3 linked regions of the Stegostoma tigrinum genome follow. The protein of the gene in region 3 binds, or shares a complex with, the protein of the main gene of each other region. Links are inferred from orthologs where the notes say so. Each region holds a gene or a part of one and is shown on either strand. Other genes may lie near its edges.

Evidence for each region.
Region 1: med12 (region 3) and med25 share a complex: the UniProt entries of both Homo sapiens proteins name them as parts of the mediator complex. The link is inferred for Stegostoma tigrinum from reciprocal best matches to the Homo sapiens genes MED12 and MED25.
Region 2: med12 (region 3) and med23 share a complex: the UniProt entries of both Homo sapiens proteins name them as parts of the mediator complex. The link is inferred for Stegostoma tigrinum from reciprocal best matches to the Homo sapiens genes MED12 and MED23.

The regions. Positions count from the first base shown.
Region 1 is NC_081391.1:15,913,643-15,918,535, forward strand, and holds the start of med25 (mediator of RNA polymerase II transcription subunit 25), read left to right. Parts: upstream 1-1,303; 5' UTR 1,304-1,454; intron 1,455-3,637; 5' UTR 3,638-3,683; coding exon 3,684-3,817; intron 3,818-4,893. UniProt on the Homo sapiens protein: Component of the Mediator complex, a coactivator involved in the regulated transcription of nearly all RNA polymerase II-dependent genes.
Region 2 is NC_081357.1:71,147,337-71,152,229, forward strand, and holds the start of med23 (mediator of RNA polymerase II transcription subunit 23), read right to left. Parts: upstream 3,403-4,893; 5' UTR 3,161-3,402; coding exon 3,014-3,160; intron 1-3,013. UniProt on the Homo sapiens protein: Required for transcriptional activation subsequent to the assembly of the pre-initiation complex. Component of the Mediator complex, a coactivator involved in the regulated transcription of nearly all RNA polymerase II-dependent genes.
Region 3 is NC_081368.1:38,216,802-38,221,694, forward strand, and holds the start of med12 (mediator of RNA polymerase II transcription subunit 12), read right to left. Parts: upstream 2,867-4,893; 5' UTR 2,844-2,866; coding exon 2,745-2,843; intron 1-2,744. UniProt on the Homo sapiens protein: Component of the Mediator complex, a coactivator involved in the regulated transcription of nearly all RNA polymerase II-dependent genes.

The sequences.
Region 1 (4,893 bases), on a different chromosome or scaffold from region 3:
AATGTGCAGTCTGCTAAGAGTAAATAGTGATCATAGTGTATGTAGGAGTTAACGTTGAAAAAGAAAGACGTGACCGTGGATCTTTATTGTCCTACCAACCTGTTAAAAGTACCACTGCAAATTCTTGTGCTGCCGATCCCTGAAGAATGTCTGATTTTTCACAAGTGAGTTGTTGAGGTATTCAATACTCAACTGCTTTAACATACGAAAGGCAACTTGACGTATTTCATTTTTTTAAAAAAACACATGTCTCCAATATTGAAATGGATTTTATGGTCTGATTTGTCCCTTTGGCCATCGAGTTATAGGGATCTACAGCGCGGAAAAACGCCTCCGATCCATTATCTTTCTCACTGCTAATATTTCTTGGCATGACCAGGAATCAAGTGGTCGTCTCCAATAAAGGTTAGGCTTTATTCTGAAAAATGGAACAGAAACGAGTCGCTATCTCCTTCTGCAGTTCGATGTAAACTATGTTTGATAATCTCTCTTTCGAAGAAATTAAATGGGTTTCAGTACTTTAAAAATAATAAGTGAACGCAAACTGTTGTATACTAATTCCACAAGAGAACAAGACTTATTTTCTAAACAGCAAACTGACTTCCCGATTTAGGACTATTTTCAGTCAGTAATTTGCTGATCACCATGGCAATGGCGGCCAAGGGGGCGGCTTTTGGGACGTCATCTGAAAACGCTCTATCAATTTCCCTGAGAGCCTGGAAGCGGGTGTGGTCCAGCAAGCACGTTGGCCGCCGCTTTGGTGTCACGTGATAGATAAGGGCGCCGTTTTCTCGCAGCTGGGGAAGGCGATGACCCGTCAAGTGCATGCAGCTCAACCAATGGTGACGACCGGGATTAGGGGGCGGGGCTGCATCTGATTCACGTGACGCAGCTGACTGGCGAACTGAAGGCGGTGTAGGATATGAGGCTCTCATGGGCGGGACTAAATAGACGTTACGTGACGCGTCATTTGGTGCGAGAGTGGGTGAGTAAAAGTGGCATGACGGCACGACGTCATGTGATGCACGTTGGCGGGCTATTTGTGTTCACCAAGAAGGCAAGAGGGTCAGGCTAGAGTGGGCGGCACCCATGTTCGCGGCGACACGCGTGGAGAGGCAGGACTGTCAGTGTTACGTTTTTTAATGGGTGGGGCAGGTGTCGGGGGCGTGTAAAGGAAGCGTGGTCTGGGCACGAATAGGCGGGGCGCCCCGTTTTGTCATGTGACGGTTGGAAACCATGTGGGCGGGTACCGTTTTGTGTGACGTTTTTTTGACTGGCGTGAGGTGGGCGGGCGGGTTTGTGGTATCACGTGAGGTGGCTGTTTGCGCTCGAGCCGCTTTTCTCCCGCGGCCTGGTGGAAAAGGCTGAGGGAAGATCAGCAGAAGTTGCAGTCAGATCGAAAAGATTCAAACGCCCTTTACTGCGATGTGGAAAGGCGAGAAACCGCCTGTGAGGTTCGTTAATCGTTAAACGGCGAGCCTCTTCTGTGTGAATGACTGTCATATAAAGGGGAGGAGCCCCCGCTGTAGGGCAGTTATTTATTGGAAAGCAAAACCGATGCTTCACGTTATCACAGTACACGTTTTGAAGGAAATTTTTCATATCTATTATGCGTTTATTTCTTTACGAGACGTCTTGACAGGTTTTGTTCATTTATTTTTTCCAAATGGCAAAGTGTTAATGTTTGAAACCAAAACACACGTTGCTAGAAAAACTCAGCCGGTCAGGCAGCATCTGTGCAGACAAAGTTATCGTTTCGAGTTCAAAGACCCTTCTGCAGAACCAGCAACTTTTGTTTTTTCCCTCCAGATTTTTTAGCATCCACAGTTCTTTGTTTTATTTATTTGGATTCAAGTCCCTACCTGCTCCAGGAGATAGGGACATCAGAAATAAAGTGCTAGAGAAATACAGTGATAATGGGAACTGCAGATGCTGGAGAATCCGAGATAACACAGTGTGGAGCTGGATGAACACAGCAGGTCAAGCAGCATCTCAGGAGCACAAAAGCTGACGTTTCGGGCCTAGACCCTTCATCAGAGACGGGGATGAAGGGTTTAGGCCCGAAACGTCAGCTTTTGTGCTCCTGAGATGTTGCTTGGCCTGCTGTGTTCATCCAGCTCCACACTTTGTTATGCTAGAGAAATACAGTCTGGCAGTATCTATGGAGAGAAAAGCAGTTAAGCTTTCGAGTCCAGTGATCCTTCATCAGAACTGAAAACAGCTGAGAATTGGACTTTTTGCTGATGATGTGGGGTGGGGTAAGGAGAGAATTGAATGGATGGAGATTTAGCACCGTTTCATGGCTGAAAAATAAACTGTAAGTGAGGAATGTGGGTAGCTCTTTATGACTTAAGTGCTTGGCTGTCTCTCTTTATAACTTTGAATTTAGTAAGATCAAAACAGGAGGAGGCCATTCAGCTTAAGCAGTCTTGCCTTTCAGAAATCTCGTAGCTGTCCTCCAACCTTGCTGCATATCGTCACATTTGAACCACGTCCTCTATATTTGGTTAAAAATCTATCAATCTCAATTTTGAAACAAACCATTGCCGTAGCATAAATTGCCATTTGTAGGAGAGAGTTCCTTTCTTAACTTCCTCTGCTTGAAGGGTGATAGTTTGCATCTTCTTCAGTCTTCCCTGGTACCATTCTAACAAAATTGTTGTACTCGCTCAGTATCCTTTATATCCTTAGTCAGTGATTAGTTCATCTCTGGGAACAATTGGGACACAGTTGGTGGTCCTGCTGCACAGAGTGGTCTCCCTGGATCTGGGCCAGAAGAGCTGTGTACAGGGCTAACTTTTCCAGAGGTATAAAAACCAAGTCAGAGTAGATTGATGAACATTGGGGAATAAATTCGATGGTAACAAGAAGAACATATTATGTAACACTTTTTTAATCTAAAGCAGTGTAAGGATTTTGGCACAAAAAGCGAAGTTGCTGGAGAAGCTCAGCAGGTCTGGCAGCATCTGTGAAGGGGGAAAAAAAATCAGAGTTAATGTTTCGGGTCCCGTGACCCTTCCTCAGAACTGTTTTTGGCCCTTTTTTGGCTAAAATTTCAATCTGTTCTCTTTTGGACTGTGGGCAATGATGTTATTTAAAATCTATATATCAAAAATGACTACTCCCTCACACTTCTCCAACTGAGGTGTTTACAGTCAAAACCTAATAGCACCTGTCTTAATTGAATTGTATGTCAATTTTCCAATCCGACTAACCCTCTTTGTACAGTCAACCTCTGTCTCTTCCCTCCACACTCCACTCTTCTTCCTGCCCTGCAGCCAAAAAAAATTACTGAGATGTAAGAATATTGCTACAGGACCGAAACACACACAAACTATAGTGTTATAACAATGTGTAGAGCTGGATGAACACAGCAGGCCAAGCAGCATCAGAGGAGCAGGAAAGTTGACATTTTGAGTCAAGAAGGGTCTCGACCTGAAACATCAGTTTTCCTGCTCCTCTGATGCTGCTTAGCCTGCTGTGTTCATCCAGCTCTACACATTGTTATCGCAGATTCTCCAGCATTGGCAGTTCCTACTATCTCTAAACTGTAGTGTTACCTTGGACGTTAGCCTAACTTGTAATAGGAGTCGTATCTGTTAACAGAACACTTGGTTATTTTTTTCTTTCCATACAGCTGCCCCTGTGTAAAAGCAAAGGCTTCACAGTGACTTGCGAACACCATGGTTGTGCCCCCTATTGATACTCCCACCCCTTCCAACATGGTAGCAGATGTGGTTTTTGTTATCGAAGGTACCGCGAACCTTGGGCCATACTTTGAATCTCTCCGGAAGCATTATATTCTTCCAGCAATTGAGTAAGTGGACCCTGTACTGTTTGTGATTACCCGAAGCAGACCAAGTTGGCTTTTTTCTATGAGGGAATGCTATGATCTAGTGGCTGTGGCATTGTGCTAACGTCCCAAAGGTGCTGTGCGCAAAACCGACTGATTCATTCTTGTTCTTATGGAAATGAAGCCTGTCCCCTCCCTTACCCAGTTCCACCATTTCTTAACTCCTGTACCGGTGTAAGGGAATCACTCCCTGTGCATTGATCAGGTTGATATAATAAATATTTGAAGTCGTATTGTTTGTGATAGGGAATAAAGTTTGCTTCACCATGCTGTAAGGGAGACCCAGATGCTGAAGCCAATGAAAATGATATATGGAGGGGTAGTCAAACAGACCCTTCGAGGAACAAAGTGCAAGATTTTACAGACTGTGCCCCTTTAGAAAAGAGATGACTGAGAGATGACCTGATGGAGACTGAGGATGATTGAATGGCTATACATCAGGAAGATGTTTCCGTATGCTCACAAGTTCACAGCTAGGGATCACAAATATCAGCTAGATGCTAGTAAATCTGATTGGGAACTCAAAAAACATCTTTACCCAGAGAATAGTTTGAACGTGGAATGTGATGCTTCATAGTACAGTTGAAACAACTGCTACAATTGGGGGAAGGTCAATACATAAATGAAGGATCAGAGTGTGAAAATTGTGGTTAAAAAGGAGTGCTGGGAGGAGACAAATATCAGGCTGTAGCCAGTTAAGTGAATAGCACTTTTCTGTACTGTAGGTAATTTTGACTGGAGAAGGGCAGATTCAGAGAGGGCTTTCCAGAATGAGTCCTAGTTAGTTGAACATTTGTCACCCCTGGTAGAGTGAGGGAAGAGGCGGGGGGTCAGTTGGAACAGTTGCACGATTCTGAGTGTGAGTTGACTGAAGAGAGAAATGAAAACTGAGTTGTCTCTTCAAAACAAAAAGCATAGAAGCCCAAATTCTCTTCATGCCCACCATCATTGTCTCTGGGTGGTTAAGTGGTGCAAGCTGAGATGGATAGAAAACTCCAGCTCTAAAGAAATTTGGTTGGTTTGGAAAGTTTTTTTCCTCT
Region 2 (4,893 bases), on a different chromosome or scaffold from region 3:
TGTAATCTCATGACCCAGCATATCTCCCACTTAACTATTACTATCAAGTCAAGGGATCAACTCTGATTTAATTGAGACTGCAGGTTGGCATGCCAGAAGCAGCACCACACATAGAGAAATGAGGTGTCAGTCTGGTGAGGCTACCAAACAGGACCATTTTCATGCTAAACAGCATATGCTTCAAGTATTAGACAGGGCTAAGCGATCCCACAATGGATCAAAATCTAAGCTCCACAGTCTCGCCACATCCAGTTGTGAATGGTGATGGACAACTAAACAACACACTAGAGGAGCAGGCTTCACAAACATCCCCATCCTCAATGTTGGAAAAGCCCACTTTTGTAAGAGTGACCATCAACCAAAAGATAAGGTTGATACATCACAGCAATCTTCAGCCTGAAGTGCCGAGTGGATGATCCATCTCAGCCTCCTCCAGTGGTCCCCAGCATTACACATTCCATGCTTTCAGTTAATTCAATTCACACCATGTCATATCAGGAAACAGTTGGAGGCACCGGATTCTGCAAAGGCTATAGCCCTGAAAACATTCAGCAATAGTACTGTACACCTGAGCTCCTAAACTTGCAGCTCCCCTTGCCAACTCTTCCAGTACAGTTACAACGCTGGCATTTATCCGATAACATGGAAAATTCCCCAGGTATATCCTGTGCCTAAAAAGCAGGACAACTCAAACCTGGCAAATTATCACCCCCATCAGTCTGCTGTCAATCATCAAGAAAGTGATGGAAGGTGACGTCAGTGTTATCAAGCAGCACCTGCTCAGCAGTAAACCAGCTGATCCCCAGTTTGGGTTCCACCAGGGTCAATCAGCTCTTGACTTCATTACAGCCTTGGTTTAAACATGGACAAAACAGGTGAATTCCAGGGCTGAGGTGAGAGTGACAACTCTTGACATCAAAGCAGTATTCGACTGAGTGTGGCAAGAAGGAGCACTAGCAAAACTGGAATCAAGGGGTATCAGGGCAAACTCTCTGCTGGTTGGAGTCATACCTGACACATAGGAAGATGATTGTGATTGTTGGAGATCCCAGAACAACTCTGCAGGATTCCCTCAGGGTACTGTTCGAGGCCCAATCATCTTCAACTAGTTCATCAATGACCTTCCCTCTATCATAAGGTCAGAAGTGGGGATGTTCACTGACAACTGAAATGTTCAACATCATTTATGGCTCCTGAGATAATGATGCAGTCCATGTTCAAATGCAACAAGATCTGGACTTTATTCAGTTATGGGCTGACAAGTGGCAAATGGCTAGTATCATTCATGCCATACAATGCCAGGTTATGGCCATCACCAAAAATAAACAGTCTAACCAAGGCTCCTTGACATTCAGTGTTAACGCCACTAAATCCCCCACTGACACCATCCTTGGTGTTACCATTGACCAGAAATCAAGAATGTGATGGAATACTCTCCAACTTGCCTAGATAGGTGCGATTCCAATGACACTTAAGAAGATCAACATCATTCAGGACAAAGCAGTCCACTTGATTGGCATCACATTCACAAGCATCCACTCCCAAAACCAACAATGCTCAGTAGCAGATATATGTTTGATCTACAAAATGCACAGCATAAATTGACCAAAGACGGTCGGGTTGAAAGGCTGAGCAGGCTTGTTGGGCGAATGGCCTAATTCTGTTTCTTTTCCCACGGTCTTAAAACAACTTCCAAACATACCACTTCTACCTAGAAGGTTGAGGATTGCCAATACATGTGAACACTACAACCTGCAACTGCCCCTCCACGCCACTCACCACTCTGACTTGGAAATATATCACCATTCCTCCACTGTCGCTGGGTCAAAATTCTGGAATTCCCTCCCTAATGGCATTGCGGGTCAACCCGAAGTAGGTACAAGCTCACCAGCACATTCTCAAGGGCAACTAGGAATGGGCAATAAATTCTCTCGCTCTCTTTCTGGTGGGTCTCACTCTCTCCCCACTCCATCCCCCTACTGGTGCCTCACTCTTACTAATGTTAGCTCTGTCTCTCTCCTCTAACCCTAACAATTTCTCTCTTGCTCTCTTTAACCCAAAGTAGATTTCTCCCTCTTCCTGTTATCTCTCTGTCTAAACCTAACCCAATTTCTCTTTTGACAACATACGTTTCAGAATTTTAATAACTGTACATGGACTGGAAAAATTAACTGAGCTAAATCGGTACACATGGATTGAAAGAAACGGCAATAACTCGAGATAAACTGTTTCTAGAGATGAAAGGAAAACTGTTTCTAGAGATGAAAGGAAGAATGAGAAACTGTTAGAAAAAGGGATTACAGCGACATGTGAATTAACCACCCTGGGAGAAAAGAGCTACAGGAACAACATAAACAAGCTGTTTCCTGGGAGACAAGAGATAACATTATTTGACAATCTGCTGCCTCATCACATTTGGGCAATTTAGACCTGCCTGCAGAAGTAATGTTTTGAAGAGGGGGAAAAAAGCCATGTTTCAAAGAGATCTTAACGCAACGGGGAACAATGGAGCTAATTTTTTGATATGAAGGCAAGCAGCAGACTTGAAATCTCCAGAAGTGTAATCAATACTGGGGATGAGCAAACCTAAAGGATATCAATAATGTCATACTGCGATCTTGACAGACAGAAAGTTGTATAAGAACCCAACACCAGAACGACTCAACAGCAGAACTAAGAAGAACAACACTAGAGAAGGACCGAACCCTGGAAACCTCCAGAGATACAACACTGTTGGTTGGAAATCTGGCCAAATTTCACCATTAATTGGGTACTGAGTAAATTTAGTCACAGGCTTATACTTGCTCAATAGTTTAAAGTATTGTTTCAGTACTTGATTGTCTGTGAGATTTCCTAATAAGTTGCTGAATTAACGGTAGCTTGTGGTGATTTACTCATAACAGGCACTCCTTCACTCACTCCTTCCTTCCTTCCTTCTCTCCCTCCCTCTCCCTGGTGTATCTCTCTCTCTCTCTCCACCCTATCCCCATCTCTCTAACCCAATATCACTCACCACCACCTCCTCGAAGATGCTTTGGAGCTGTGTCTCCATGGAAACCGCCATCTCGCGGCCCCCTGCCACCGCCGCCGCCTCCCCTTCGATCCACGGAAGCCTTGAGCAGTTTCCGCTTCCGGGATGAGCCGTTCCGTCTCCTCTCATCCTCCGCCGTGCTCCGATGGCCTCCGCACTTTCTCAAAACAGCTTCGTTTCAAAGTTTCCTTTCCCCGTTTGCAAGTGCGAATTCGAATCGAAAAATAAAAGCAGTATTCCAAACGATTCACTTACACATTCAGATTTCAACTACATACGCTGTAAACTGGCGGAGACTTTTACATTCAGCCGGTGCCTCGTTGAAAGCAGCGACAGTGAGTGAGGCCCCGGCTTTCCTGTTTGCTTGAAGACTGAACGCCCAAGGCCACTGCCCCCGTGCGGCACCTGGAGGAAACAGCAAAGCCCTGTGTCAAATTGTGAATTCCACCTCAGACACCACCCAGAACTTTACAAATTCATTCCCGTGCCCAAATTACCCTCAAATTTCCCCCAAAAACCTCATTTCGAATCGATCCAAAAATAGATTGGGTGCGAATCTATGTCGGAACCCAGGAAAGCACTTAAACCGCAGGCTATATTCCTTCTTTATGCATGGAAATTGAAGTTTCGACTCATTTCAGCATTGTTCTTGCAAGGGAATTTTTTAAAAAAATTTCATTGGAAGTGCGCCTCACTGGACAGGCCCACTTTTATTAACCATTCCTAATTGCCTTGCAGGACGTGGTAGTGAGCTGCCTTTTTGAACTGTTGCATTCCACCTGAAGTAGGGATGCTCACAATACTGAGGTAACAAGGTGCAGAGCTGGATGAACACAGCAGGCCAAGCAGCATCAGAGGAGCAGGAAGGCTGACGCTTCGGGCCGAGACCCAAAACATCAGCCTTCCTGCTCCTCTGATGCTGCTTGGCCTGCTGTGTTCATCCAGCTCTACACCTTGTTATGTAAGATTCTCCAGCATCTGCAGCTCCGACTATCTCACGCTCACAATGCTGTTTGGAACAGAGTTCTAAGATTTTAACCCATCAATAATCGACAAACAGCCTTATATTTTAAGTCAGAATGGGGGGAAATTTGCATGTGATAGCCTTCTCATTTTCCGTTTTAGTAGTGCTGGGTTTGGGAGATGCTGTCAAAGGAGCCTAGGTGAAGTGCATTTTGTAAATGGTACACACGGCTTCTACTGAGCTTAGGCGGCAAATAAAAATGTTGCTTAAAGTATCAGATTACCTGTGCCTTGTCGATACTGGACACGTTTTGGGGAGTTAGGTTTACTTGCCTCAAAATTTCCAGCCTCTGACCTGCATTGGCAACCATACTATATGGCTGGTCTAGCTCTGTTTTTGGTCAATAGTAACTTCCAGGATGTATATAGTCAGAGATTCAGGAATGGAATTGCCGTTAAATATCATGGGAATGGTTAAATCTCTCTAATGGGAGATGTTCACTGCATGGCACTTGCATGATGTGACTTTTATTTGCCAATTCATAGCTCAAGCCTAAATATTCTCCAGATCTTGCTGAATATGAATTAAGACTACTTCAGTAGCGGAGGAGTTGTAAATGACCCTGACTTTGCACAATCATTAGTGAAAATCCCTATTTCTAACTTTATGATAGATTGAAGATAATTGATGAATATCGTTATGAATATGAATATCGGACACTTAACTGTGGAGCTCTTGCACCGGTGCCCTGTGACTGCAATAATTGGCCTCTAACAAGCATAGCCACCTTCTTTTCTGTTTAATATTCTCCTCTGGTGAGTTTTTCATGTGATTGCCATTGACTTCAATCTTACCATACTTAGTCAATATGTTGCCTTGATATCAACAGCAGTCACTG
Region 3 (4,893 bases):
CCTATACTCTCCTCTCCACCTATCTTCTTTTCTCTCCATCTTCAGTCTGCCTCCCCCTCTCTCCCTATTTATTCCAGAACCCTCACCCCATCCCCCTCTCTGATGAAGGGTCTAGGCCCGAAACGTCAGCTTTTGTGCTCCTGAGATGCTGCTGGGCCTGCTGTGTTCATCCAGCCTCACATTTCATTATCTCTGACATTCCTCATGTCCACTTTCCTGCATTTTTCCCGTAGCCCTTGATTTCCCCATCAACCTATCTATCTATCTCAGCCTTAACTATACACAAGGGACACTTTCTCCACAGCTCTCTGGGTCAAGGAGTTCCAAAGACACTAAGCCCTTTGAGAAAAGAAATTCCTCCTCATCTCAAACTGGCATCTTTTTATTCTGGGCTATGCCCTCTGATCTCAGACTCTCCCATGATGAGAAACATCTTCTCAGCATTTATACTGTCAATCCCTTTATGTTTCAATGAGATCACCACTCATTTTTCTGAACTCTGGTGAGTAGAGTCCCAACCATTCAGCCTTCATTCAGCTGCAGTTAGAATTCCCTACCCTTGTACTTCAACCCCTCTACATTAAGGGCTAATATTCTATTGACCTTCCTAATTACCTGCTGCACCTGCATGTTAGTTTCATGTAGAAGTACCCCAAATCCCTTTGCCTTGCAGCTTTCAGCAATTTTTCTCCTTTAAATTATTCTGTTCTTTTGTTCTCCCTTCCAAAATGAACAACTTCACATTTTCCCACATGATACTCCATGTGCCAACTTCACCCACTTACTTAACCTATCAATATCTCTTTATAAACTGTTTGCATCCCTCTCACAACCTGCATTTCCACCTATTCTTGTGTAGTCTACAAACTTGGCAGCAGTTCGTTCACATCCTTCCTCCTAAACATTAATAAATGCCAGCTCAAATGTTCAGTACGAATGGTGGGGTGGAGATGCACAGCAAAACAGAACTGCAAACATAGAAGATCATAATGAATGTAAGACTAGAGCTAGGCCGGTATGAATCAGTGGTAGTATTTGTAATCATAGAATAGATAATGAAATCAGTGTATTGGTGAACAAGAAACCAACAAAGGTTGATAGAAACATAAGTAGTTGGTGAGTCGACTTAATCTGAAATAGCTTGCAAACACTGAAGTTTCAAGTAAGTCAGAGTTTTATCTGGTGAAGATCAAAGAACTGATAAAGACAATGTTGGACAAATAACAGCTGGAGGTTACAACAGCATGATTGAAAGCAGTATCACCTCAGTTTTGAGCCAATATCTTTCCTCACTAGCAGAGCACCCACACTCCCCAACCCCTGTCCCAAAGCCTAGAACTCCCCATCCCCCCTCACCTCCCGCAAGCACAATCTTGCTCGTTAACGAACCTGTCAGTAGACACTAAGCTTACATGAACAACAGACACTTGGGCAAAGTACTAGAGGATCACAGGTACCAATGAAATTGTACCACGTCTTTTGTTTTTAAAAGATCAGTACCCAGAAAGAATCCACAATGAAGAGGGTAAGAAACATGATGATAATTGCCCTTTTATTCCCACACCACAATGTGCAAGAGCAGGCCATTCAGCCCCTCATGTCTACTTCAGCATTCAATAAGACCATGGCTGATCGGATTGCAACCTCAAATCCGCATTCCCGCCAGGCAATCTTTCAACCCTTGCTTAATAAGGTTCTATCCACCTCAGTCTTAAAAATATTCAAGCACTTTATTTCCACCATCCTTTCTTAAAAACAGTTCCAAAAAATTCTCAAGATTCTAACAGATTCAAGGAAATCAAAGTCGTACATGAGGGGAAGAAAAAAGCAAAATATTGAATGATGGAAATCAAAAATGAAAACAAAAGTGTTGGAAATACTGTGATCAGGTAGTATCTAGAGAGAGAAACTGAACTGATGTTTCAGGACAAGTCATCTCACTCTGAAAAATTAACTCTGCCCAACTTTATAAGTACTACCAGAAATTATTATTATTAATTCTAAATGGGACTTTTTGGCCAAAAAATATTGCAAAGCTTTAATCAGGCAAGGCCCAAGAGTTACTTGAAAGGACGGGTCTCAAAATTAATTAAGGAGGACATGGAGTTCAGCGGGCAGCCAAAAAGAATCTAAATGACAGTAACGGTGTATGTTGTGCAGCTGAAAATGTGGTTCAGTGATCTTAAATAGCTTCTCATTTTGAGGTTTGAGGTCTAGTACATTAACTGAAAAGAAAAAGTACTTGATGATATAGTGTGGCGTAATTTGAGTGTGGAAGCACAACAGATCCTCAAAATTTCCCGATTATTTTAAGAGTAAAAATATATCAGCTTCAAGATCAATCGCAAACACTGTGGAAGTTGATTGCTTCTGGGTTTCTCCCAGATAGAGACAGTGAAGATTTGTACCATCTATGACGAATTTCCATATTAACCAGGTGTTATTGATAGGTCGGTCCAGTAGTTAACTGTTAAAATGGCTGAGCTGTGCTCCAGCCCAAACTCTATCTCACAGAGACAGGGTGACCAACCCACGGTTAGGGACCGACAGTACAAGAGCAGCTTATTGCTGCTGTCTGCAAGGCTACTCTAGGCCCAAGTCCACCCATACATACGGACTGTTTATTGTTTACATGGACGCTGCTCTAGGCCCGGCTCCCCGCGCCGGCTTACTCACCCCGCCGGCCCGGCTGCCTTACTGAGTGACTGGCCGTCCTCCCCTGGATTCTCGACGATTTTTCCTACCTCTTTCTGCTTGGGGTCCTGCGGATAAACGTCTGGCGGCCCGAGCCGAGGCCTTTTCAACGGCCTGTGCTCATAACTCAATATTCCGAACGCCGCCATCTTTGGGAAAGCCGGCTTGCCCCAACGAGTGGCTCCGAGCGCTACCGGAATTTGTCGATTCCGAGTGCTGACGAACATTGCCGATTCCGGGCGCTACCGGAATTTGTCGATTCCGAGTGCTGACGAACATTGTCGACTCCGGGCGCTACCGGAATTTACCGACTCCAAGCGCTAGTGGAGATTGTCGTAGCCGAAGAGGCATTTTGGTTAAAAGGACAAATGATGATAAATGTAGTATTTTGGCCTGGACCACATAAATTCCCTACTATAACCAGGGGCAACATTCCAGATAACTATTTTTCTAATGGCTGAAATAAACTATGATGTGGAGGTGCTGGTGTTGGACTGGGGTAGACAAAGTCAGAAATCATGCGCCACAAGGTTATAGTCCAACAAGTTTATTTGAAAACCTAAGCTTTGGGGACACAGGCCCCTTCATCAGGCGAAGTGAGAAAGAAGTACACGCACGCACGCGCACACACAGAATTTATAAATAAAAGATCAAAAAGTCACACAACTGATCAGGATGTATTAAACCTGCAAGGAAAGTTAAGCCTCTCAAATTATTTTTTTTTTCTTATTCAAAAATTAATGTGAATGGCGCCATGTATGTATGGCCAAGGTACACACTTTTCAGTGTATTTTTACATTGAATACACGTGACAATAAATGTTTCAATTCAAAGTTGCTGATAAAGCTCAGAAGGTCTGGTAGCATCTGTGAAGGAAAAAACAGAGTTAACGTTTTGGGTCCGGTGACTCTTCTGAGGTTCTGAGGAAGGATCACTGGACCCGAAACATTAACTCTGTTTTTGACATCACAGATGCTGCCAGATTTGCTGAGCTTTTCAGGCAACCTTGTTTTTGTTCCTGATTTATAACATCCACAGTTCTTTCGGTTTTTATTTAACATTTCAATTCAATTCAATAAGATGCTGTTAAATCTTTAATCAGTTAGAAGGTTTTAATTTATTAATATGTATGTGTGAATCTCCAAACTTCTTTCGAGTCACTTCCCTGCGAGAACTAAAGATATTATCGGTGTAAAGAAGAGGTGACATTTTAGGTCAGACAATACATGTTAGGTGTTTAGAATTTGTTCATGTTTTGGTTCGAAGTCAGACTGGTTTTATTTCTAACATAAGAATTTATAAAATGACACATTGACTGACTGTCTATAAATTGTGTGCTTTTGGACACACACACACACACGCACACACGCACACACACTTTCTCTCTCTCTCTCTCCCTCACCAACACAAACATATACATATACACATACACACTCACATATAAATTTGTGAGGTGAATTTGCATTTGCATATACATTCTATTTTGTTCAAAAAGCACACAATTTATAGACAGTCTGTCAATGTGGCTTTTAATAAATTCCTACTTTTAGAAATAAAATCAGACTGACTCCAGACTAAGGGGGTGGCCATGGGCACCCGCATGGGCCCCAGCTATGCCTGCCTCTTTGTAGGTTATGTGGAACAGTCCCTCTTCCGCACCTACACAGGCCCCAAACCCCACCTCTTCCTCCGGTACATTGATGACTGTATCGGCGCCGCCTCTTGCTCCCCAGAGGAGCTCGAACAGTTCATCCACTTCACCAACACCTTCCACCCCAACCTTCAGTTCACCTGGGCCATCTCCAGCACATCCCTCACCTTCCTGGACCTCTCAGTCTCCATCTCAGGCAACCAGCTTGTAACTGATGTCCATTTCAAGCCCACCGACTCCCACAGCTACCTAGAATACACCTCCTCCCACCCACCCTCCTGCAAAAATTCCATCCCCTATTCCCAATTCCTCCGCCTCCGCCGCATCTGCTCCCACGATAAGACATTCCACTCCCGCACATCCCAGATGTCCAAGTTCTTTAAGGACTGCAACTTTCCCCCCACAGTGATCGAGAACGCCCTTGACCGCGTCTCCCGTATTTCCCACAACACATCCCTCACACCCTGCCCCCGCCACAACCGCCCCAAGAGGATCCCCCTCGTTCTCACACACCACCCCACCAACCTCTGGATACAACGCATTATCCT